Linked DNA regions of Notamacropus eugenii. The protein of the gene in region 2 interacts with the protein of the main gene of each other region in a pairwise test. Links are inferred from orthologs where the notes say so. Each region holds a gene or a part of one and is shown on either strand. Other genes may lie near its edges.

Region 1 (6,963 bases), on a different chromosome or scaffold from region 2:
CTTACTAAGCTTCAGAGGCAGGATATGAACCTAGGTCCTCCTGACTGTGTCATGTACCACACCAGATTAGGAGAAAAGCCCTTTGTAACTTTTACAAGGCTGTGTACATGTGTGTGTTATGCATGCATGCATGCAACACATACACACTACCTGTACATATGCATGTGTATGTGTGTAGAATACATTTATATTTCTATAGTATTATATATATTGTTCAATTTATGTGTATATATATATATTTCTATTTCAAGGTTACCCAGTCACCCTTCCCACCACCATAGACCACAGCTCCTCCGCACATCAGTACGCTATCATACATAGACTGTCATGACTTGCTCTGGCCCCAGAATGCCTTGTGCTGGTGCTGAGCCTTGTCCTGTGCTGATGAGCCTCTGCATACTTCTCAGAAAGCACATGCCATCTTTCCCCAGGCTTCTGCTGGAAATCTTTCCAGCTTGGTAGGGCCTGCTAGCACTTGCCACAAACAGACCTTCCCAGGCCCAGAGTCACCTCCATGACATAAAGTGGTGTCAGAGAAGGATGAGTAGAAATATGAGTTAGTTTGGCCTTTCTGGTTGAGGATTCCCTTTTGGTTTCTGACCTAAATCCCGTCCTTTCCTCTCAGGGCTGGTTTGGAGAGGGCCTGAACAGCCAATGGCCACCTGCCTTCCCCAGAATAACTCTTGAGTGCCAAAGCAAAGCCTGTTATTATCAGGTAAAACATTATTGGGTAGCCATGTGGCACTGAAGGCTGGGGCCCTGCCTTCCTAAAGGGGATGCTCTGCGCAGGGGAGGGAAGGCAGGATGGGGAAAGCAGCCGTTTCTGCTGACACAGGGCACTGAACAGGGTGCTCTCATGGAGCTGTACTGGGAGAGGCCGTCCAGACCTCCCTGAACAGCCAGGCCTGGACCTGCTGCCTCCTCAAGTGATAAATGGAGGCCTGGAGGCACAGGGAGGTGCCCAAGACAGGAACTGAGTCATAAGTCAGGGAGGTACAGAATCCAGGCAAACTGAGGAGCCTGAGAAAAGTTAAGGGGCTGCCCAAGGCCCCTAGCTGCTAGGGAATATAGGATATCTTACCTTGTCCAGAGTTAATAACTGCCTTTTAATGCATGCAAAATGTTTTACACTCAACCTTTCTCCTTTGGGCCCCAAGGATGGAACTTGAAGAATGAGAGTAAGGAGCTATCATAAAGATACTGCTGCATTTTATAGATGGGGAAACTGAGTCTCAGAGCTGAAGTGATATCGGATCATAGAACTAGAGCAGGGAGGCCATCTAGTCCAGCCCTTTTGTTTTACAGATAAGGAAACTGAGATTCAGAAGTGGGGACTTGTTGAAGGTCACACAGCTAGTAACTGTCTGAGGAATACTTTGACCCCAGCAATTCCTAACTCCAGAGACAGTACTCTATCCACTGTTCTAACCTGTCTCTGTCAAATGAGAGAAGGCCATGTTCAATAGGGGTTGGGAGGAGGGGTGGCAGTTTGGAGAGGTCAAGCATATATTGAGAAGGCTGTAAGACAATATTAATGATGAGAGGAGCCTTAGAGGTATCAAATTAAATTCTTTCATTTTGCAAATGTCCCTTGCCCCAGAGAAGGGAAGTGACTTAGGCATCCAGGTAGGCAGTGACAGTCTGGACCAGAAGCAGTCTCATGACTGACGGTCAACAGACATTTATGGAGCGCTGCTACGTGCTGGGCTCTGTACTACATGCTGAGTATTGGAAGAAAGGCAGAGAAACAAACCATACAACCCTAGACCCCACTTCAGAGGAGCTCACAGGCTGAGGGGGTGACCTACATGTCCAGGGGAAGCTGGGAGATTCTCGGAGGGAAGGCTTCACCATCCAGCATGAATTCCCTTCCATGGGCTGGGCTGTCATAGGATAACTGATCTGGGAAGGTACAGTGAGAAGCCAGGTTTCTGAATCCCTAGGGCCAGTCCTGCCCTCCTCCAGCACTGCTGCATCCGGAGATGGAGAAGCTGAGAATGAGTGACAAGCACTCCAGGAAGGTGCTGGAGAGGTCTGGAACCGATTTAGGCCAGGTAGAGGGAAGAGTGGTACCAAGACAGAACTGATCCCAGGATCAGCTCTACAGCTAGGAGGGCCCTTAGAACATAGGATGTCAGGACTGGGAGGGCCCTTAGAACACAGAATGTCAGAGCTGAGAAGTCTCTTAGAAAGAGCTGGGGGCACCTTAGAATACAGGATGTCATGACTACACATGTATAACCTAGGTTGAATTGCTTGCCTTCTCAAGAGGGTATGTGGGTAGGGAAGAAGGGAGACAAGGTTTTAAAAACAAATGCTAAAAAATTCTGTTTACGGTAACTGGGAAATAAGATATACAGGCAATAGGGTGTAGAAATCTATTGTGGCCTACAAGCAGTAAAGGGAAAAGGGATAGGAGGGGGCGAAAGAGGAAAGGGCAGACTGGGGAAAGGGGTAACCAGAATGCACACTGTCTTGGGGTGGGTGGAGGGGAGAGAGATGGGGAGAAAATTTGGAACTCAAAATCTTGAGGAAATTAATATTGAAAACTAAAAATAAACTAATTTTAAAAAAGAACACAGGATGTCAGAGCTAGAAGGGGTGGAGATGAGGTGGGGGACCCAGGTATTTAGAGCTACTTAATTTTATAGCTGAGGAAGCTGAGGTCTGTAGAGAAGAAGGTCTTGTTCAGTGTAACAAGGTCAGCAGCAGCGCTGAAATCCAAGCCCAGGTCCTCCGACTACAAGCCCAGTGGTCTGTCACCTACCCCAAAATCTCAGAAAGAAAACTAGGGACAAACCTTATCCCCTTTTCCTTCCCAGTAGAGCTAGCCTGGCTTGGAATCTCAACCCCTACACCAAGGATGCCTTGACGACGATGACTGGAGGAACTTCACCTCCACCCACGTGGATTCCTCCGGTGAGCAAGGTCTTTCTCACTTCTAACCAAAATCCCTCCTGATTCACCAAGAGTCTGCTCCCTCTGGCTAGGTGTGACTCTGTCTTTCCTCCTTAGCAAAGAGGCTGCTGTCATGAGCAGGGAAGGATGACTCCTAATGGGACATCAAACAGACTTGGGCAGTGGCTTCCCCAAGAACAGGTCATTTGCACCCATGTAGGTGGGTACTAAGAGAAGCCGGGGGAGGTAGGGCGCTGCTTGGTAGCCCTCGAACAGGGACCATAGAGGAACTGGATGAGAGAATCCCGGACAGATTCCCAAAGCAGGAAGCCTCACCCCTGAACACTAGACCTGCACTTTGTAGAGCTGTGGGGTGGGGCTATATGGGCAGGAGCCCCTTGGTGTTCAATAGCCACCACCGCCCCGTAGGCAATGTGCCAACTCCCTCGGGTGTGGCTCTCCGTTGAGGTGGAGTCAGAGCCCGGACTGGAAAGGAGGTGTGATCCACTGTGGCCTGAGGGCACAGAGAAGGGGTACTGCTACTTGCCCCCCTGCCCAGCAGGGGGCCATGAATAGAGGACAGGGGCAGAAAAAGATCTGTGAAATAAATTAGAAGTGGCTGAATAAAATCCCCATAAGAGTCCTCATATAACAAGACCTTGGCTATCCATGCTGTCACCACTGCCTCCCCTGGGAGTCAATACCGCCCCCCTCCCAGGAACTAAACTGGGCCTAGAGCCCAGGTGTCCTACTTGCCAGCCTCAGACAAATCAGTGGAGCCTGGCACTAGGTCAAAGGTGAGTCAGAGAGGAAAGTGGGGCAGCTGACGAAGTTGGGGACCCCACCCTCTCCAGGGCGCCCACATGAGCCTCCCTGATACTCTATGGCTTGGGAGGGTACTGCCAGACACCTAAGCTTGGAGCCCAGCCACAGCAATGTCCCTGGGGAAAGTCCTCCAGCTAGTGGGAGCTGGTTGCTCAGTTGAAAGGGAAAATTGCAGTGTAATGGGGATGGTATTGGGCCCAACTGGGTGGCTAATTACAAAGGATGGGCCTCCAGCGTCCTCGCTTGTTAAACTCATCTTTAAGTGGCACATTGAGATGCCACCTCAACAATCTGGGGGGGAGGGGAGGAGATTTAGGGAGCAGGGCTGTGGGGTCCTTGCTTAGCTCTGGAGGGCTTCTCAGATAGGAGTATGCCTAAGGCAGAGAGATGCCTGGGGCCCTCCCAGGAGGATCAGTAGGAACCAGCACTGCCCATTCCCCAGGGATATCCAATACAACTCCTGGCATATTGCAGGAGGCTGCCAGGCTGGGCCCACATGGTACCTGTGCCACAGGTGGAGTGCTTCCTCCAGTGTCTTCTAGACCCTGGCTAGGGGCTGAGTAAGGGCAGAGTTTGTTGGAGGGCATTCAGATATTCTGTGTTTAAAGTCAAAAGACCAGCTTTTATTAAAGGGGTGCTTTGTCCCGCAGACACAGTCTCTGTTACACACACCCCAGAGTGAGTGCACCCTGTTACTGAACCATCCACACACTCCCCCATCCCACCATTCACATCTGACCGTACAGACCCATAAGGGACTGACCATTCCTATTTCCTAAAAACTAATGGGGTTTAGCGATTTCAGGAAAACCTCAAGCTACTTTCTAAGCCTCCCACTCCCAGACTCCCTGGGTCGTGATGAAGAAGCCCATTATTGTCCGCGGTAACTGGGAGATCAACCTGGGGACCCAGAGCAGGCCCCTGAGCATTGCAGAGCCTGTGGGACAGAAGGCCCCGGGAGGCAGCTGCCTTAGGTGGGGCCCACGCCTGTCTTTCTCCGGTTGAGTATCCCCATGATGACTAATGCGCCTCCTGTCCTGGCCTCTTTACCTTTAAGGAGCAGCCAGGAAAAAAAAGAAAGAAAGAAAGAAAAGGGCCCAGGACTGGGGGAGGCAGGAGCCAGAGGCCCAGCCCCGCCTCCCGCCCAGCCCTGCCCCTCCCCACCCCTGCCAAAAAGCCGGGCTGAGAGGGAGAGGCTGAGCAGAGGCAGAGCCCAGGTGCCCCGGGATTCAGCGCAGCCCCGACCCAGCCCCAGCCCGAGCCATGGAGAGAGGCAGACTGATCCAGAAGGCCAAGCTGGCGGAGCAGGCCGAGCGCTACGAGGACATGGCCGAGTTCATGAAGGGCGCCGTGGAGAAAGGCGACGAGCTGTCGTGCGAGGAGCGCAACCTGCTGTCGGTGGCCTACAAGAACGTGGTGGGCGGCCTGCGGGCGGCCTGGAGGGTGCTGTCCAGCATCGAGCAGAAGGGGGCCGAGGAGGACAGCGCCGAGGCCAAGGAGCGCGAGCCCGAGGTGCGCGAGTACCGGGAGAAGGTGGAGGGCGAGCTGCGCGCCGTCTGCGGCATCGTGCTCGGCCTGCTCGACTCGCACCTCATCAAGGACGCGGGCGACGCCGAGAGCCGCGTCTTCTACCTGAAGATGAAGGGCGACTATTTCCGCTACCTGGCCGAGGTGGGCACGGGCGACGACAAGAAGAGCACCATCGACTCGGCCCGCGCCGCCTACCAGGAGGCCATGGACATCAGCAAGAAGGACATGCTGCCCACCAACCCCATCCGCCTGGGGCTGGCGCTGAACTTTTCCGTCTTCCACTACGAGATCGCCAGCAGCCCCGAGGAGGCCATCTCTCTGGCCAAGACCACCTTCGACGAGGCCATGACCGAACTGCACACCCTGAGCGAGGACTCCTACAAGGACAGCACCCTCATCATGCAGCTGCTGCGAGACAACCTGACCCTCTGGACGGCGGACAGCGCCGGGGAGGAGGGCGGCGAGGCACCGCCCCCCGAGGAGCAGCCCCAGAGCTGAGCCCCGCTCCCCGGCGCCCCGACGGCCCCTTCCGTTCCCTGTCCCCCGCCCCGGCCTGGCCCCCCTCGGGAGAGAGGACTTGTGTGTGGGGCGGGCCCCCGGATCCCTCTCCCTCCCTGCGCCCTGCCTCCTCCTCCTCCCCTCCCCAGCCCCTTAGCCCCCCAACCCTACCCCGCTGCGCGCCCCGGCTCTGGAGCGACTCAGACGCGAAAACGAGGGCAGCTGGGCAGGGAGCTCCGGGAGTCTCTCCGTCTAGGCCCAGGCTATCAGGGACGGTGGTGGCAAGAGCCCCCACGATCGTCCCAAGATCTCTGGCTCTCTGAGCTGGCCCCGGGGATCGCCCCCCCGGCGCTCTCCCTGTCATCTCCTGCCCCTGCTCCCTGTGGTTCTGAGGGATTGGGAAGTGCCAGGCCCTTAGGGGCTTGGGAGGGACTGGACTGGTGGGGCCCAGAGGTTGTGTGAGTGTGTTGGAGGAAGGAAGAGTGTGTGGATGTGTTTGGGTGACAGCGTGTGCTCGCGCGCTGGTGTGTGTGTGCGACTGTCAGAGAGCATGTCTGTCTGAGTGTGACAAAGTTCCTTCTCAATAAAGAAAGCTTCCCTGACACTCCTTTTGTCTTTTTGCCGTCTGCGTCGGAGGGGCAGGTGGGAAGGCTCACTTGATGGGGCGGGGCGGGGGAAGGTGTTGGTTCTGAGACCTGTCTTCTTTCTGGTTCTAGAGGCCAGCATTACCTGGCCCTCACCCCCAGGGGAGCTGGCCCATCCCAAGGAGCAGCCGGAAGGGATTTGGGGTAGATTACCTCAGAGTTAGGTGGGGTTGAGGGGTGGGGTGGGGCAGGGTTTTTTTCTAGTGACAGAATCCAAGGTCAGGGACTAACCCTCAGTCCCCAGGAGAGTTCACATCGGAACAGAGGATTTCAGAGGACTCCTTCCTCTTCCTCGAGCCCTAAGATAAGGATCCGTAAGAAACAGCCCTGGTGCTGGAGTGGGAGGAAAGTTGGACCTGAGAAAGCCAGATCTCGGGGTGGAGGAGAGGGGAGGCTAGGGCAGTGTTGAGAAGAAATGAGAGTGAAGTCAGATTCCAGGACAGGTGAGATGAGAAGCCACAGATCTGAAGGGAGGAGGAGAGAGAGAGGCAAGAAGTGAGACCATTCAGGTGGGAGGTGGAATTGAGACATCCCATACCCAAGGAACTGGACCCTCAAGATATAAGAA
Region 2 (7,059 bases):
AAAGATGTCTTAGAAGGCAGTAGTGTAAGTGGGTGATAATAAGAAGCTGGATTAGATTGATAGTGGTGAAAATAAAAAGCTGTGGTTAGATATGGGAGATATTGTAGAAGTAGAATCACTGGGATTTTGCGACTAATTGGATATGAAAGGTGAGAGAGAGGGAATAATCAAAGATACTACCAAGGTTTTGAATACAGGACAATAGGTGAATAGTGGTGCTACTGACAGAACTGGTGAAACCCAAAGAAAAAGCAAGTTTTGATGAATAGATAAACTCAGCTTTGGAGGAGGTGAGTTTGAAGTACTAGGGAGGCATTCAGATGAGGAATATCCTGCCGGAATGGGGAAAAGCGAATCTGAGACCTTGAGAGAGGTCAAAGCTGGAGGCCTTATGGTTTCAGAGACTATCTGTATTAAGGTGATAATTGAAATCATGGGAGCTAATGACATTTTTAAGGGACAAAGTAAAGAACAAAGGACTGATAAAATCTTTTGAGATCCAAGAGAGGCTAAGGAGTCAGCAAAGGAGGAGAAAAAGAAGATATGGTTGGAGGGGTAATGCCAAATGAAAGAGTGAGGTCAAAGAACATGAGAACTGGGGTAAAGATGATTTGATGTCACTGGTGTGCTTAAAATAGTTTTAGTAGAGAAGGAATAGAAGCCTTGTTGACAGGGATTGAGAAGAGAGTGGGTAATAAAGAAGTGCAATTGGAAGAATTGAGTTCTTCAAGACTACTTCAAGAAATTCCTACTTGCTTGGGGGAGTAGGGTCAAGGAAAGGGCTTCTTTTGGGAATGAGGAGACCTAGATATATTTGTATCTACATAGGAAGAAGTCAGTGAAGCATGAGAGATAACAGACTCAAACAGAGAATGGATGATTTTTTTATACCCAATATTCCTTTCCTTAAATTACCATGAATGCTAAGAGATTTTCACTTTTTGCCAAAGTTTTCTAGGTTTCTATTTCACTATTCAGATTTTCCTTGTTGATTACAATTAGTGGCAAAATAGCAGTTTTCTTCACTGTATTCTCAGTACTACACTAACCCTCTGCTTGGTTTCCCCATATGCTCTTCCATTTCAATGCCTAGTCATCACTCCAGATTAGGCATTTTAACATTTACCCTTCAAGAATATCAATACCTTACTATAATATTGAGTGGGATAGGTTTAGTGAAGACTTCTCAGATTGTAATTCTTCTCCCAGGGGTGAGGTAAGACCTAGAGGCTCAAGGTTACAATATTTTTAGAATAGAATAGTTCCATATAAGGATATAAAACTGTGTAGTATATTAGGGTCTCAATGATTGGATAAAACTTACATAATTCCTCGATGTCTTCATTTCAAAAGGGATTGGTTAGATTTTGTGTCTAGAATGTAAGATCATATTCTCAGCTAATGAGGATAATGGTCAGTGGGGGAGGAGGGACTTGCGTTAGGGTCTATATAAATCACTGCCTTTTCTTTGTCTTTGTCTTTCCTACTCCAGATGAACTGGTGTAGGATTGTCCCGATTCTCGAGAATCTAGTAAATAAACTTTCTGTCATCACTTTGAGAGGCCTCTGAGTAACTGATTTAAGTAGGGACCTGAGCCATCCCACACAATATCAAGTCAAACTTCTCATTTCCTAGAATTCAAGTTTTTCCTTAGAGGCTCTAATTCTTATCAATCTGACTTAATCTCCCACTTTTTTTGGAGGGATCCAAAACTGTAATTTCACATCTTTGATAATTCTTGGCAACTAGAACTCACTGATGCAGATTGGAATAATTTTGTAACTTATAGGCTAAAGTGTGTGGACACAGGCCTTCCAAGGTAAAGTGACTCTCCCATCCATGGTCACATTGCTGGTATATGTCAGAGACAGATCTTAGACCCAGGTCTTTCTGACTCCTCTATTAAATCTCTATCCAGTAAGTCACATTGTCTCTCATTTCCCTTGGTTCCCACTTTCTAGTTTTCATAGCACTTTCTTTACAACAGCCAGATAAGGTGGGTAGTACAGTTATTATTATCCACATTGTTTTTTTTTTTTTTTAGAAAAGGGTAGCTTGTAAGTACCAGCACTTTGATCATATTGACTTTTTCCCAGTTTTTTTGTCCCTTTAGCAATCTGAATGGAGTGTGGAACTATCTTTTTTCTTAAAGTTAGCAGCCTAAAGACTAGTATCTCTTTTCTCATAAGTTCTCATCAATGCTTTCCGTGATATAGGTAAGGAGTATTGAATAATTAATCTCCACCAACGAAGAAAGACTTACACTAATGACTTTGAGCCACGTTACTTTATCAAAACATTTTGTTTTAAGAAAATTTCAACAAACTCCTCATATAATTTAAGAAAACCCCCCAAACCAGTCCCCCCAAATATTAAGAAAAATAATACCAAAAAGTACAAGATTGGACAAGCAGCCATGCACTTGTTTGCCATTTTAAAAAAGAAAGGGGAGATGCATGCTGCTACTGACAGAACTGGTAAAACCCAAAGAAAGAGCAAGTTTTGATGAATAGACAAGGAGGAGGTGAGTTTGAAGTGCTAGGGAGGCATTCAGGTGAGGAATATCCTATAGGCATTTGGAAAAGTGAGTCTGTGATCTTGAAAGAGGTCATAGTTAGAGGTATTATGGTTTCAGGAGCCATCTGAATCAAGTTGATAAATGAAATCATGGGAGTTAATAACATTACCAAGGGAGAGAGTAAGGGTCAGTTTTCTAGACAGGAATCTCAGGGTTCAAGCTCTCTCTATGACACATACTAGCTATGTGACCATCTGTCCATTTCAGTGACCATCAGTAAGTCACTTATACTCAGCGAAACAGGAAATTTTCTAAGATTATAAACATACATTTTTGTAGAGGAGTGGCCAGTCTGAATATGTGGAAGGAGTTTCCACACTAACAGTTTAGCACATTGATGAAATCATTGGTTTAGATAGAAAAAAGAAAGAAAAGTAGCTTATGTACTGACTTAGCACCTCCCCCCCCCCAAAAGATGGGAGGGCCCCCAGCATCTGTGTGCTTCAATTTTGATATGGCAATAATACCAATATTTACTTTCATATTTATCTGAGATTTGTTGCTCTTTAATGTCTTTGTTTATTTCATTGAAGTTAGAATGTTTATTTTCCTTTGATTTTGCTTTATTTTGTATAGATTCAGTTTGAATATTTCACCATTTCTTCAAACTGGCAAATTCCTTATGGCTACGGAATCCACATACATCCACATGCCACAATTTATTAAATCACAAAGCTTGTGTCCAGCTTTTTAGCTATTACAAATAGTTCTGGTACGAATATTTTTGCAGATTGGTCTTTTCCTACCAATTACTACCCCAGGTTAAAAGCCTAATAGTGGGTTTGTTGGATTAAAGAGTACAAAATTTTTTGTTACTTTTATTGTATAATTCTATATTTCTTTCCAAAATTCTTAGTAAATTCATAGCTCCATTAGCAGTGAATTTTTAGATTGTCAATTTTCCAAAGTCTTGCCAGCAACTGATTTAAAAAAAAATTACTATTTATGTGAATTTGATGTCTTTTAAAGTGACACTTAAGAATTAAGCTAATTTGTATTTTTATTATTCATTCAAATTACTTGTGTTGAAGTGGACATTATTTCCCCTCCCCCCCTAGAGCCCCTGGGTTGAGAAATGTCTGTTGAGTTTCTAGGCAGGGTTGGGCCTAGTAGCCACTTACTATTAGTGGCTACACTTTCTGTTGTACCCCTTTGCCTAGCAGCTGCCTGGGCCCCCCTCTCTGTTGTACCCCTTTGCCTAGCAGCTGCCTGGGCCCCCCTCTCTGTTGTACCCCTTTGCCTAGCAGCTGCCTGGGCCCCCATCTCTGTTGTACCCCTTTGCCTAGCAGCTGCTTGGGCCCCCCTCTCTGTTGTGCCCCCTTGCCTAGCAGTACCTAGGAACCCCTGTCAAAACTGTTCTGTGAAAAATGTGAGCTACTGGAACCATAAGGCTGTACCGGGAGGTGCTAAGATGCTTAAAAGGCACACACACCTTTGTTCAGGGCTGCCACCTTTGTGGACAGCCACTGGCTAAGACACTCCCAAATTCTCAATTAACTCTTGCCTGTGCTTGTCTCGGTCTGTCCATTTCAGTGTGAACTTATGTTTCTTTTGAAAAATGCCTATTCAGTTGCATATACTCTCAGACTTGATTGATGTGCTGGTGAGTTTTTCTAAATTGCTTTTTTTCCCTAAGTTCTCTCTTTTTATTCATCTTTTAAAAAACTGTTATAGGGAATGACTCAAGGGAGAGGAGGAAAGATAGCAGGAATATATTTGGTAATGAAGGTGATATAAAAATTAAAGATACCAATAAAGTAAAATAAAAGGAAAAGGCCTGTTCACAGCCCTTGACCACTTATCTATCAGGAGGAATTTCTCCTAACCTTATAAATCTATGCCAGTCCCTATAGATTTTACATGTCAGACTTTCAGCAGAAACGTTTAATTGCAAAAATTTTCCCCCTACTCTGTAGTTCAATCTGTTTATGTGCATGGTTATAACTGGTAAGTGTGCTTTTCCCTCCTCCACATCCTGTTGCTTGTTAAGTCTGCTTTTTCAGTCAGATCACTAGTATCATTCTCTTAGAATGATCATAGACTCTCCATACCCTCACATCTCTTCCTATAACCTCAAGATTCTGGGATTCTACTTTTATTGATAGAATCTTTTCAAAACTCCTCATGCCCTTTCTCTAGTTCAGATAGAAAGGTGTTTTAAAATGTTTCCCTCTATTCTCATTCTTCTGTTTCTCTGTTGTTTTGTTCTTTATCCGTGGCCCCCATATTCAAGGTACAACATTTTTCCTCTTTCCTCATTTTATTACTTCTTTTTGATTCCTTAAGCATTTTAAAAGTGTCTACGTTGTCCAAGGAACTAAGTGTTGGGGATATAAAGACAAAACAGTGCCAAAGGGAGACTAGACTAAAGATGAAACATACCATATGGTTTGAAGGAAGTGAAGATGTTTAGTCTATGGAAGAAGGTAAAGCCAGGGGAAAAGGATAATTGTCCTTTCAACTCTGTAAGTTTAGAAGTGAAGAGGCCTGGCTGGACTACATTTCATTTGATAAGGACTTCACAAGCACATTCAGTATGATCTGACTCTCTAACCTGGCAGCCAGAATCTCAGGTTGCATTGACAGAGGAAGTCTCCAGGTCAAAGAAGTGAGTAGTCCCACTGAACTCTGCCCTAGGCTTAGATGTATGGAGTATAGGTTTAGTTTGGGGTGTTCCATTTTGGGTGAAGACACTGACAAGCAGAAACATGTGCAAAAGAGGAAAACGAGAATGATGATAGAATTTGTGATGGGGGCTGGAACTGCACCTGTAATATCATTGGAGTAGGGAAATTGTCAGGTGAGGAAATTCCCTCTACCAATGCAAGTTGCTTGTCGTTGGATTTCCCAGTAAGGAGGGTCATAATTGTGTCAGAGCTGATGCTCCTTCCACTATTGTTAGAATTACTAATTAATAATAGAAATTATTAGAATGTAATCTTGTAAGTAGGGATTGTTTCATTCATTGTGATGGCATTTTAAGTTAGTCAATTAGCACTTTGTGGTAGGCATGGTGCTAAAGGATAGGGATGTAAAGAAAGTCAAAAGACAATCCCTGATCTCAAGGAACTCATGATCTAGAGAGAGACGACATGCAAAGAGGGGCAACTGGTGGTGCAGGAAACAGAGCAGTCAGGAAGGCCTCAGACATTTATTGGTTGTGTGACTTTGGGCAAATCACTTAACCCTGTTTGCCTCAGTTTCCTCCTCTGTAAAGTGGCAGACCACTCCAATATCTTTGTCAAGAAAACTCCGAATGGGGGTCAAGAAAAGTCAGACATGACTGAAATGAGTGACACATGCAAACAACTATGTACAAGGCATATTCAGGATAAAGGTAGGGTAGTCCCAGAGGGAAAGCTCCACAGGGAGGCCTGGGAAAGGCCTTCTGCAGCAGGAGTGATTTTTAGCTGAAACTTGAAGGAAACCCAGGGAGGCCAGGAAGGGATTGGGGGGATGAGGTGCAAACGCAAGAAAAGCCCTATGTAGAGGAGCATAAGCCTAGAGCTCTATAGGCCACAAAGCCAGGGACTATTTTTCTAAGAAACAAATCCCTTCCTCAGCAGAGTCAAAAGTTCAGTAAAAAAAAAAGTCCAGTCAAGACATCTCTGCCCCGCCCCTCTAACTCCGCCCCTAACGAGACCCCGCCCCTTCCTCACCGTTCCCGCCCCCAAGCAACAACCTGCCCCCCCGCTCAGGCCTTCCAAGCCCCGCCCCCCACGCTTCCGCTAAGACCTCCTCAGACCCGCCCCTCGGGCCCCGCCCCCTCGGCTCCGCGGCCCCGCCCCTCCGCGGCCTCCGCCTCAGCGTCCGCCTCTTATTAGGCTGTCCCCTTTCCCAGGCTTTCGCACCGCGCTTCCTCGGCCTGTTGAAGGAGGGCGAAGGGACAGCCGGGCGTATTCGGCCCGGGCTTGCCCGCCCGCCCGCCCGCCATGGAAGGAGAGGGATCCGTTTCCCGAGGCTACCAGCCAGCCAGCCCGCCCCGGGACGCCTGCACCTACAGCAGCTGCTACTGGTAAGGGGCCCGAGCCCCGCCCCCGCCCCCGCCCCGGACCGGCCTAGGTCTGTCGTAGGCGCCTTCCCTGGGCCCGGCCCTGCGCCGCCCTGGCCCCGCCCCTGGCCCCGGGCACCCCCGAGCTTCTCCGCGCTCGGCCCGGGCGTGGCTTCGGGTTCTGCGGAGAGGCTTCTAGGCCCCGGAGCCGAAGCTCATCCAGGCCAGCCCCCGCTCCCTACCACCCTTTCGTCTTACAGATGGGGAAACTGAGGCTGGGAGCGCTCGCCTTCCCTTCATTCAGTAACGGGAGGGGGACTCGGATCCCAGCGGCCGAGGTGGCTGCTAACCAGGACGGAGTCAGGATTTGAATCCAGGGCTAACGGCTCCAGAGCTCTGGTGGTTCTCCCTGCTGGCGACGACAGTAACTCTTTCCGGGTAGAGAGATGGAGCTGGGAGGGACGGGCTGTTTCATGGCAGGGCCTTATC
Region 3 (7,636 bases), on a different chromosome or scaffold from region 2:
TTTAACTTCTTTTGGCCTCAGGTTCTTGTCTATAAAATAGAGGTTTGGACTCATTGACCTTTAAGGTCTCTTTAAGTTAAATCTATGTTCCTATATTTAGAGTTCTATGATATTGTGACATAGTCACTCACATTTGCATAGTCATAAAGTAAGCAAGTAGAACAAAAGAATGGCTAATATTGTTCACATCAACACATAATAATTTAGATTTTACACAGTGCGTTTCTTCAGAGTAGCTTTTTGAGGGAGGAAGGGAAAGTATTTTTCCATTTTCCAGAAAATATTAAGACTTTAGGAGGCTAAAAGACTTGTTCATGACGGTAGAGCTGGTTAAGAGCTAGGATTGGAACCTGAGTCTCCTAACTTTAAATCTTAAGCTATTTCTATTCCATCATGCAAACATGGGTTCATTTCCTATTTGATGTATTCCTTATTAGTCAAAATAATATAATTCAGTTCTGTTCATTGCAAAAGCAGTCTTTTTTTTTGTTGCATAGTCTCAACTCAAGTATTTTAAAAATTGCTTTCTTTCCCTGTTTTAGAAATACAAGTCCTTTCTAAAGACAAGAAACTATCATTTATTGTAGTATTTTCCATATGAAACACTCAAAATAGTATTCAAATGATAACTTTTCCTTAGAATATTCAGGTGTAATGCAGGATTGTTGTAGCAACAAGTTCTCAAACACTTTGGCATGAATATTGCTAATGAATATATGTTCTCAATATATATTATTGGAACAAAGTAGTAACTTTTTGTTGGATAAATGGATATCCTTGCAGACATTCTAGGTGCAAAAAAAATATCTATTTGGCTCTTAGCATATGTATATACAATTAGTTAAATATTATACAATGTCTTATTTTCTTTGTCAAAGTGGACCCACACTTTATGACACCCAGGAAATTTTGTTCCTTGAGTAGTCTTGTGATAAGACAAAAACTACAGCTACAATTGATCATAAAGGCAGTATAGAAAGAGCATGAACTGGGGAGACACAAGACCTGGAGAGTCACGTGATATTAGATGAAGTCATATGATTCCCTTCTCGGTTTCCCTTTCTTCATCTATAAAATAATGGTAACAATTACTCTACCTGGTCTAATAAAGATTAATCTTTTATATGATAGAAAGGTGATTCAATAGCTATTGTGTACCAAGCTCTGGAACTAGAAAGACTTCTAACATAAACAGTCCTTTAAAAGGCATAACCAAAAAAAAAAAAAAAGACTCCCAATGTTTAGATTCAATAATGTGTTCTAATTTTTTGATTACATTAAATACTTTGATATACGACTAGAAATTAAAGCTACAGAACAAATTTAGACACTCGTGATAAAAACAGTGAAATTTTAACATTTTCCTAGGGAAACAACTTTTAACATAAAAACATGGACATATTTGCAAAAAAAAGCTTAGGTATGTGTTGAGAGGTTAAGTTCAAGATTTAAGCATTTTGTTTTCTGGTTGTTCCTTTCCTTTTTAAGGGTTATTATTCATAGACACTATAATGACAGCTGGAAAACATAGGGTATTTGTATTTTTGAGGCTGTAGATCTTTTTGCTTAAGTCCTGAGACCTTGAGTTCTGGGACCCCTGGCTTAGAGACCATATTTTAACAAGAATTTAACAAGAACAAGAACCGACTGAATCAGAATCACAGCAATGCAAAATTGAAAGTGTCCTCAGAAGTCATTCATTCCTATCCATAACTAAATGTTATATATAACACCATATAAGTGGTCATGAAACCTTGCATTTAGATTCAGCCTACCTACTTATATGCTACTCTACTTTTTGGAAAGCTCTGTTTGCTTCATAGAACCCAAGACTTCCATGCAGTGAAGTTTGAAAACCAATTTTTAAAGAAATGGCACTTGTAATATCCTCCCACTTTTTACTAGTATATTTGTTTATTAGTGTTTTATTAGTGTCAGAGGAGTAGATGCTCTCTCTTGGATACTTAAATAGCTCTTTTCCACTATGAACTTTGGGTTACAATTTAATTTAGTCTTATATGACCTTTTTTGTCTTAGACCAAATATTAGGACGATGTTAAGAGGGCCCCAGGTGATGTGAAACTGTTCTGTTTTGAATAACATATAAAACAGCTCTAAATCATGTTTTGTGACTGCAAGAATATTTTCTCTCAAGCCCTGGAGAAACTGTATTTGGCCTATCTGCATTCCACAAGGAGTTTCCATCAGTTAAGATAGTTTCCATTTCCCATTTGAAAACTGTTGAAAAAACATGATGGAAATTTGCATTTCAAAAATTGATAGCAAGGCCATTAACTAAGAGTATCATTTGCAAAGGCTTTGAGGGAAAAAAAAAAGGATGAGCTTTTTTTTTTTTAAGTAAAAATACACCCAGAGACATGGATAGTGAATACAAAAATACAATCTTTGTTCATGTGATATTTCCATTTGGTCAGCCCTTCAAGCTATGGGGTGGGGCAGAAAGAATCAGAAAAAAATAGGCTGACAAAGATCAGTCCAAAGTCAGGAATAAGCACCTCAAAAGACAACTGAGCTCATGGGGCGGTGCATTTCAACTTACACTTCGAAAATGCAGCTCCTGCAAAGGAGTTACATTGTTACCTCGTATGAAACTGAACGGAGGTCTAGAAAGCTTAACTGTTCTACCCGGATGTCTCGGTCCTAAGTCTACCTTCCACGTTCTTCGGGCTCCCACCGCCCCTCCACATGCTTTTAGCCTCAGTTACTAAACAAATATCTCCTCTCAGAGGTCACCCAGTCCTGCCCTTTCTGGGCCAGGGAAGGGAGAGGACCGGCTCTAAAACGAGGAAGTCTGGGGAGGCAGGCTTTGGTTTGGGTCCCTGACATTCCCACCTGGGCTGGGGCTTTCTGGGAAGCTGCTTCGTTTCCAAATGCCCAGACCACCGAGGCAAGGGCTTCCCAGACGGGCGAAATCTGGGATTTTTCTGACGAGACCCTCAGTCATTCCTCAAGGCATCCCTCACGTGTTCTCGTCTACACTGGGGTTCTTAACGTGGGCAGGAAGCGCTTCCTGGCCCCGCTGCCCTCCTCCTGTCCGGTGGGATCGCTCGATCCTAGGACACCTCTGAATTCGTCTGGTAACCGCGGGAGGGTTTGCTGGTCTGACGCTGAGGAGAGCGGCCAACCTAACCGCACTGAATGTGGGTAACAGGGTTAAGTTACAGTTAAGTGTGGAGTTACAGTGTAACGCCCGTTGTAGAGACCAGACGAGTAACAGTCCTCATCGCGGTCGTCCTGGCCCCGCACTGCAGGAGACGGGGCTCCACCTGCGGAGGTGTCGATGCGCCTCCCTCCGCACGCTGCCCGCCCGCAGAAGGGACCGCATGGCAGCTGCGCTCTGGCCCACACAAAGGGGACCCCTTGGCGGGAGCTCGGGGGCCAGGTGTCGCCCGTCACGCCAGGGGCGTGAAGGAGGATCCGAGTGCGCGCGCGCGCGTGTGTGCGTAGAGGGGGGGCCATGCAGGCGTGGGCATCCTCCACACGGGGAAGGTGGCAGAGGAGGGAGAAAAGCCTGACTCATGTGGTGGCTTGGGGACTCCTGGGAAGCAGAACTCGTGATGCGCCCGCTGCGCCGCGCTGCAGAGAAGAACCCCATTCTGCCACGGGCCCGCTCCAGGCACATGGCCCGGCGGCCCGCCCCGCCCCGCCCCTCCCCTCCCCCCTGCACTGCAGAGGGCCCCCCTCCCCCCTCGCCGGGGCGCGTGCACGCGCACACACGCCCCAAGCGCGAAGGGAGCGAGGACACACCTCGGCCGCTCGCGCCCGCGCCCCCCTCTCACTTCATGCCCCACCCCACCCCATACTGGCAGCATCACGCTGTCCGCCCCGGATTCGCTCCCCGATCTCCAAGTCCCCGCCCCCACCGCGCCGGCGCCTGGGCATCCGACTCTGGCCTTCGGTAGTTTCCGTCAAGAGCACCCGAGCTCGGCTGCCGCCTCGGCGGGTCTTCGAGTCCCCGAACACCGTCTCTCCTCTACCCTCCCCGCCCCCTCCCGCCTCGTCCGGCCCCGCCCCTTCTCCTCGCCAGGCGAGGCTTTATGTCTGCGGCGCCAGAGCGCCTGCGCAGACGCCATCTTCCTCGGCCCCCTCCCCCGGCCGCCGCTGCCTCCTCCTCCTCCTCCTCTTCTTACCGCCGGACGCTCCTCCTCCTCCTGCGCCCGGGCTCGGGAGCCCGTCCCTCCTCTTCCAATGCCGTGAGAGACAGTGGGGAAGACGGCGTAGCCGGGGCAGCCTAAGGAGAGCTCTCGTAACCAGCCCCCCCCCAGCCGCCCCCTCCCCAACCCCCGGGCGCACCCGACACCCTGCCCCCATCCCGCTCCCTGCCCCTCCCCTGGCCGCCCCCACCTCCTGCTCCATTCAGCGGCGCCCGTCCGTCCGTGGGTAGTCCCGGCCCGGCGAAGCCGCCGCCGCGGAGAGAAGCCTCACGCCCCCTGGCTGCTGCCTGCCTGCCCGCCCGCCTCCTCCCCGAGGGCCGAGGACCGGAGCCGCCGGGCTGCTGGCCCGGAGGGAGGAAGATGTTGGGGCTCCGCGGCTGCCAGTGATGGAGCGGTCCCTGCGCTCCCCCCGCCCCCGCCCGCCCGGCCGCCGCTGCTCCTGCCGCCGCCGCCGCCGCCCCCCGGCTGGGTGCGAGGATCGTACGTATCTCTCCCTCCCCCCTTACCGGCCTCCCCCCAGCTGCAGCCGCCGCCGCCCCCTCGGCCCTCCCCGGCCGGCCCAGCGGCCCCGGCTCCGCTGGGTTCCCGGCTGAGCCGCCGCGGCGGCGGCGCCCCCGGAGCAGCTTCCAGCCTAGCGGTGGGGGAGGGGGCGGGGGGAGGGGGAGGCACCGGGCTTTTAGCTGCTCCGGCCTGGCCTCCGGGCGTGCCTTTCCCGGGGCAGCCCTTTGGGGTTGGGGCGGGTGGAGGGGTGGCCGCCGCCGCGGCACCGCGGCGGGGGTGGCGGAGGGGGCGGGGGCGGCGGCGGGGGTAGGGGCGGCGGGGGCAGCGGTGGTTTCCAAGTTGGCCGGATAACGTGGGCATTTCTCTCTCTCCCCCCTCTCCTCTTCTTCAGTCTGCCTGCCTCCTTCCTCTACCTCCCCCCACCCCCTCCTCCCCTAGTGAAGCGGACTGTATAAAAGGGGGTGGAGAGGACCAGAAGGAAAAGTGAATGGCCGAGGACCGGTAGTGCCCCCCATTCTTGCCTTGTCCCCCCCGCCGTCCTCCGCCTGCTGAGCGCAGAAGGCCCCGGCGGCGCAGCGGGGACGGTGCCTCCGGCCCCTGCGCTGTGAACACAAAGCTCCCCGTGCGGTGCAGACACAATGCACCAGCCGCCCGAGGCCACGGCCGCCGCCGCCGCCGCCGCAGACCTCGGGGCTCGGAAGATGGCGCACCCGGCCGCCGCGGTCCCTCGGAGGGGCAGCAGCAGCGGCGGCGGCCCCGCGGGCCCCTCGGCCGAGGACTACGCGCCTCCCGCGCCGCTGCCCGGGGCGGCGGCCGCTGGGCCGGGGCCGGCGCCGCCGCCGCCCCCGCAGAGCCTGCACCTCCTCCCGCAGGCCCCGCAGCTCCCCGCCGCGCCCGGCGGGGCGCAGATGAAGAAGAAGAGCGGCTTCCAGATCACGAGCGTGACGCCGGCCCAGATCTCGGCCAGCATCAGCTCCAACAACAGCATCGCCGAGGACACGGAGAGCTACGACGACCTGGACGAGTCCCACACGGAGGACCTGTCCTCCTCCGAGATCCTGGACGTGTCCCTTTCCAGGGCCACTGACTTGGGGGAGCCGGAGCGGAGCTCCTCCGAGGAGACTTTGAATAACTTCCAGGAGGCCGAGACCCCTGGGGCGGTCTCTCCCAACCAGCCCCACCTTCCTCAGCACCATTTACCTCACCATCCACCCCAGAATGTCGTGATCAATGGCAGTGTTCATCCACACCATCTCCATCATCACCACCACCACCACGGGCACCACCTTCACCATGGGCACCACCATCCATCCCATGCTGGTGTCAGCACGGCTGTTCCTGGAGGGCCACCCCCAAGTCCGGTGTCTAGAAAACTCTCCACAGCTGGAAGTTCAGACAGTGTTTTACCAGCTGCACCACCTTCTGCTGTATCATCCACTGGCACACCTGCATCTCTAATGACTAATGTCCGCAATACGAATGCTCCTGGCAGTCTAGGTATAAATTCTGTTACGGGCACTAACACAATAAATAATGTTAACGTTACTGCAATGGGTAGTGTTAATCCTAACATGACGAACAGCATGCCTGGTAATGTTAACGTACCTTCCAGTAACGTCCCAAGTACTGCTAGTGTAAATGCTGTGCCCGGAGCTAGCACCAGTGTTAATGTGAATATCCTAAGTGGCATGGGCAATGGTACTAATTCTTCTGTTAACAATGTTCCTACCCCAGCTGCAGGAATGGCTGCGGGATCTGTTTCAGCTCAGCAGCAACAACCAGCGGCTGGCACATCAAGGTTTAGAGTTGTGAAATTAGATTCTAGTTCTGAACCCTTTAAAAAGGGGAGATGGACTTGCACAGAATTCTATGAAAAAGAAAATCCCATAGCAGTTACAGAAGGAGTAGCGGTAAACAAAGTGGTGGAGACTGTAAAACAAAACCCAGTTGAAGCGACCTCTGAAAGGGAGAGCACTAGTGGGAGTTCAGTTAGCAGTAATGTGAGCACATTGAGTCACTACACAGAGAGTGTGGGGAGTGGAGAGATGGGGGCCCCCGTTGTGGGCCAGCAGCAGCCAGCCCTCCCAGGTGTGGCCCCACAGCCCGTGGATTTCAGTAGTGGTCCTGGTGCACAGGGTGTATCAGCAACTAGTCTACCACAGAGTATTTCTCAGTCTCAGATTGCCCCGGTGCAGTTGCATTCTCAAGAGCTGACCTATGCTTCGCAAAAGCAGGGAAGTCAGCCTCCTCTGCAGGCCAGTAGAAGTGCTGCGGCTGGCATTCAGTCGCCCCCAGTGAATCTGGTTGGTGTAGCACCATCGTTAGGCCAACAGCCTCCCGTTTCCAGCTTGGCTCCGTCCCAGTCGTCCTATTCTCAGACCCCTTTGCCAGTTGTAGCACCGCCGCAGTTACAATACGGACAGCAGCAACAAACTGTGGCCACACAGGTGGCTCCGGGCCACATCCAGCCAGTAAATCAAAATCCCATCGCTGCAACTATGCCAGAGTATGTTCAGCATCAGCAAGTTCTCCAGACACCAGTGCCCCCTGTCCCACCAAATTCTGCAGGAGTGGCAGCAGCCTCAGCGATGCCTGTTGCTCATTCACAGAGCATTCAGCCTTCAGTGCAATCCACCACAGCCCAGGCACAGCCTGCAGGGGCTGTTGGACATGGCCAGCCAGCAATGCCTCCTGTAGCTGCTAGTGGTCAAGTTGTGAATGTTGGTCAGCAAGTGAACATCCCAGCTGTGCTGCAGCAGCCGGCCACCGTCACCCAGGTGACACCTCCGCCTTCTCAGCCTGGGATCATTCAGGGAATTCAAGCCAGTGCTTCAAACCTTCCTCCACAGCTGGTCGTTGCACCTCAAAGCAGCTTGATAACTGTACAGCCCCAGGCTCAAGGAGCAGAATCTGTGGCTCAAGGAGCAGAATCTGTGGCTCAAGGAATAATAAGCCAGCAG

What was found. The genes of interacting proteins can lie anywhere in the genome.
Region 1: the proteins of NTAQ1 (region 2) and SFN interact in binary tests that used the Homo sapiens proteins (3 or more experiments, as listed by UniProt). The two-hybrid records come from large-scale screens. The link is inferred for Notamacropus eugenii from reciprocal best matches to the Homo sapiens genes NTAQ1 and SFN.
Region 3: the proteins of NTAQ1 (region 2) and TSC22D1 interact in binary tests that used the Homo sapiens proteins (3 or more experiments, as listed by UniProt). The two-hybrid records come from large-scale screens. The link is inferred for Notamacropus eugenii from reciprocal best matches to the Homo sapiens genes NTAQ1 and TSC22D1.

The regions. Positions count from the first base shown.
Region 1 is NC_092876.1:67,974,319-67,981,281, forward strand, and holds SFN (14-3-3 protein sigma), read left to right. Parts: upstream 1-4,906; 5' UTR 4,907-4,986; coding exon 4,987-5,751; 3' UTR 5,752-6,355; downstream 6,356-6,963. UniProt on the Homo sapiens protein: Adapter protein implicated in the regulation of a large spectrum of both general and specialized signaling pathways. Binds to a large number of partners, usually by recognition of a phosphoserine or phosphothreonine motif.
Region 2 is NC_092875.1:120,994,306-121,001,364, reverse strand, and holds the start of NTAQ1 (protein N-terminal glutamine amidohydrolase), read left to right. Parts: upstream 1-4,013; 5' UTR 4,014-4,182; intron 4,183-5,054; 5' UTR 5,055-5,187; intron 5,188-6,345; exon of another isoform or gene 6,346-6,420; 5' UTR 6,421-6,511; coding exon 6,512-6,594; intron 6,595-6,694; exon of another isoform or gene 6,695-7,059. UniProt on the Homo sapiens protein: Mediates the side-chain deamidation of N-terminal glutamine residues to glutamate, an important step in N-end rule pathway of protein degradation.
Region 3 is NC_092877.1:295,069,204-295,076,839, reverse strand, and holds the start of TSC22D1 (TSC22 domain family protein 1), read left to right. Parts: upstream 1-4,528; 5' UTR 4,529-4,655; intron 4,656-5,067; 5' UTR 5,068-5,314; coding exon 5,315-7,636. UniProt on the Homo sapiens protein: Transcriptional repressor. Acts on the C-type natriuretic peptide (CNP) promoter. Acts to promote CASP3-mediated apoptosis.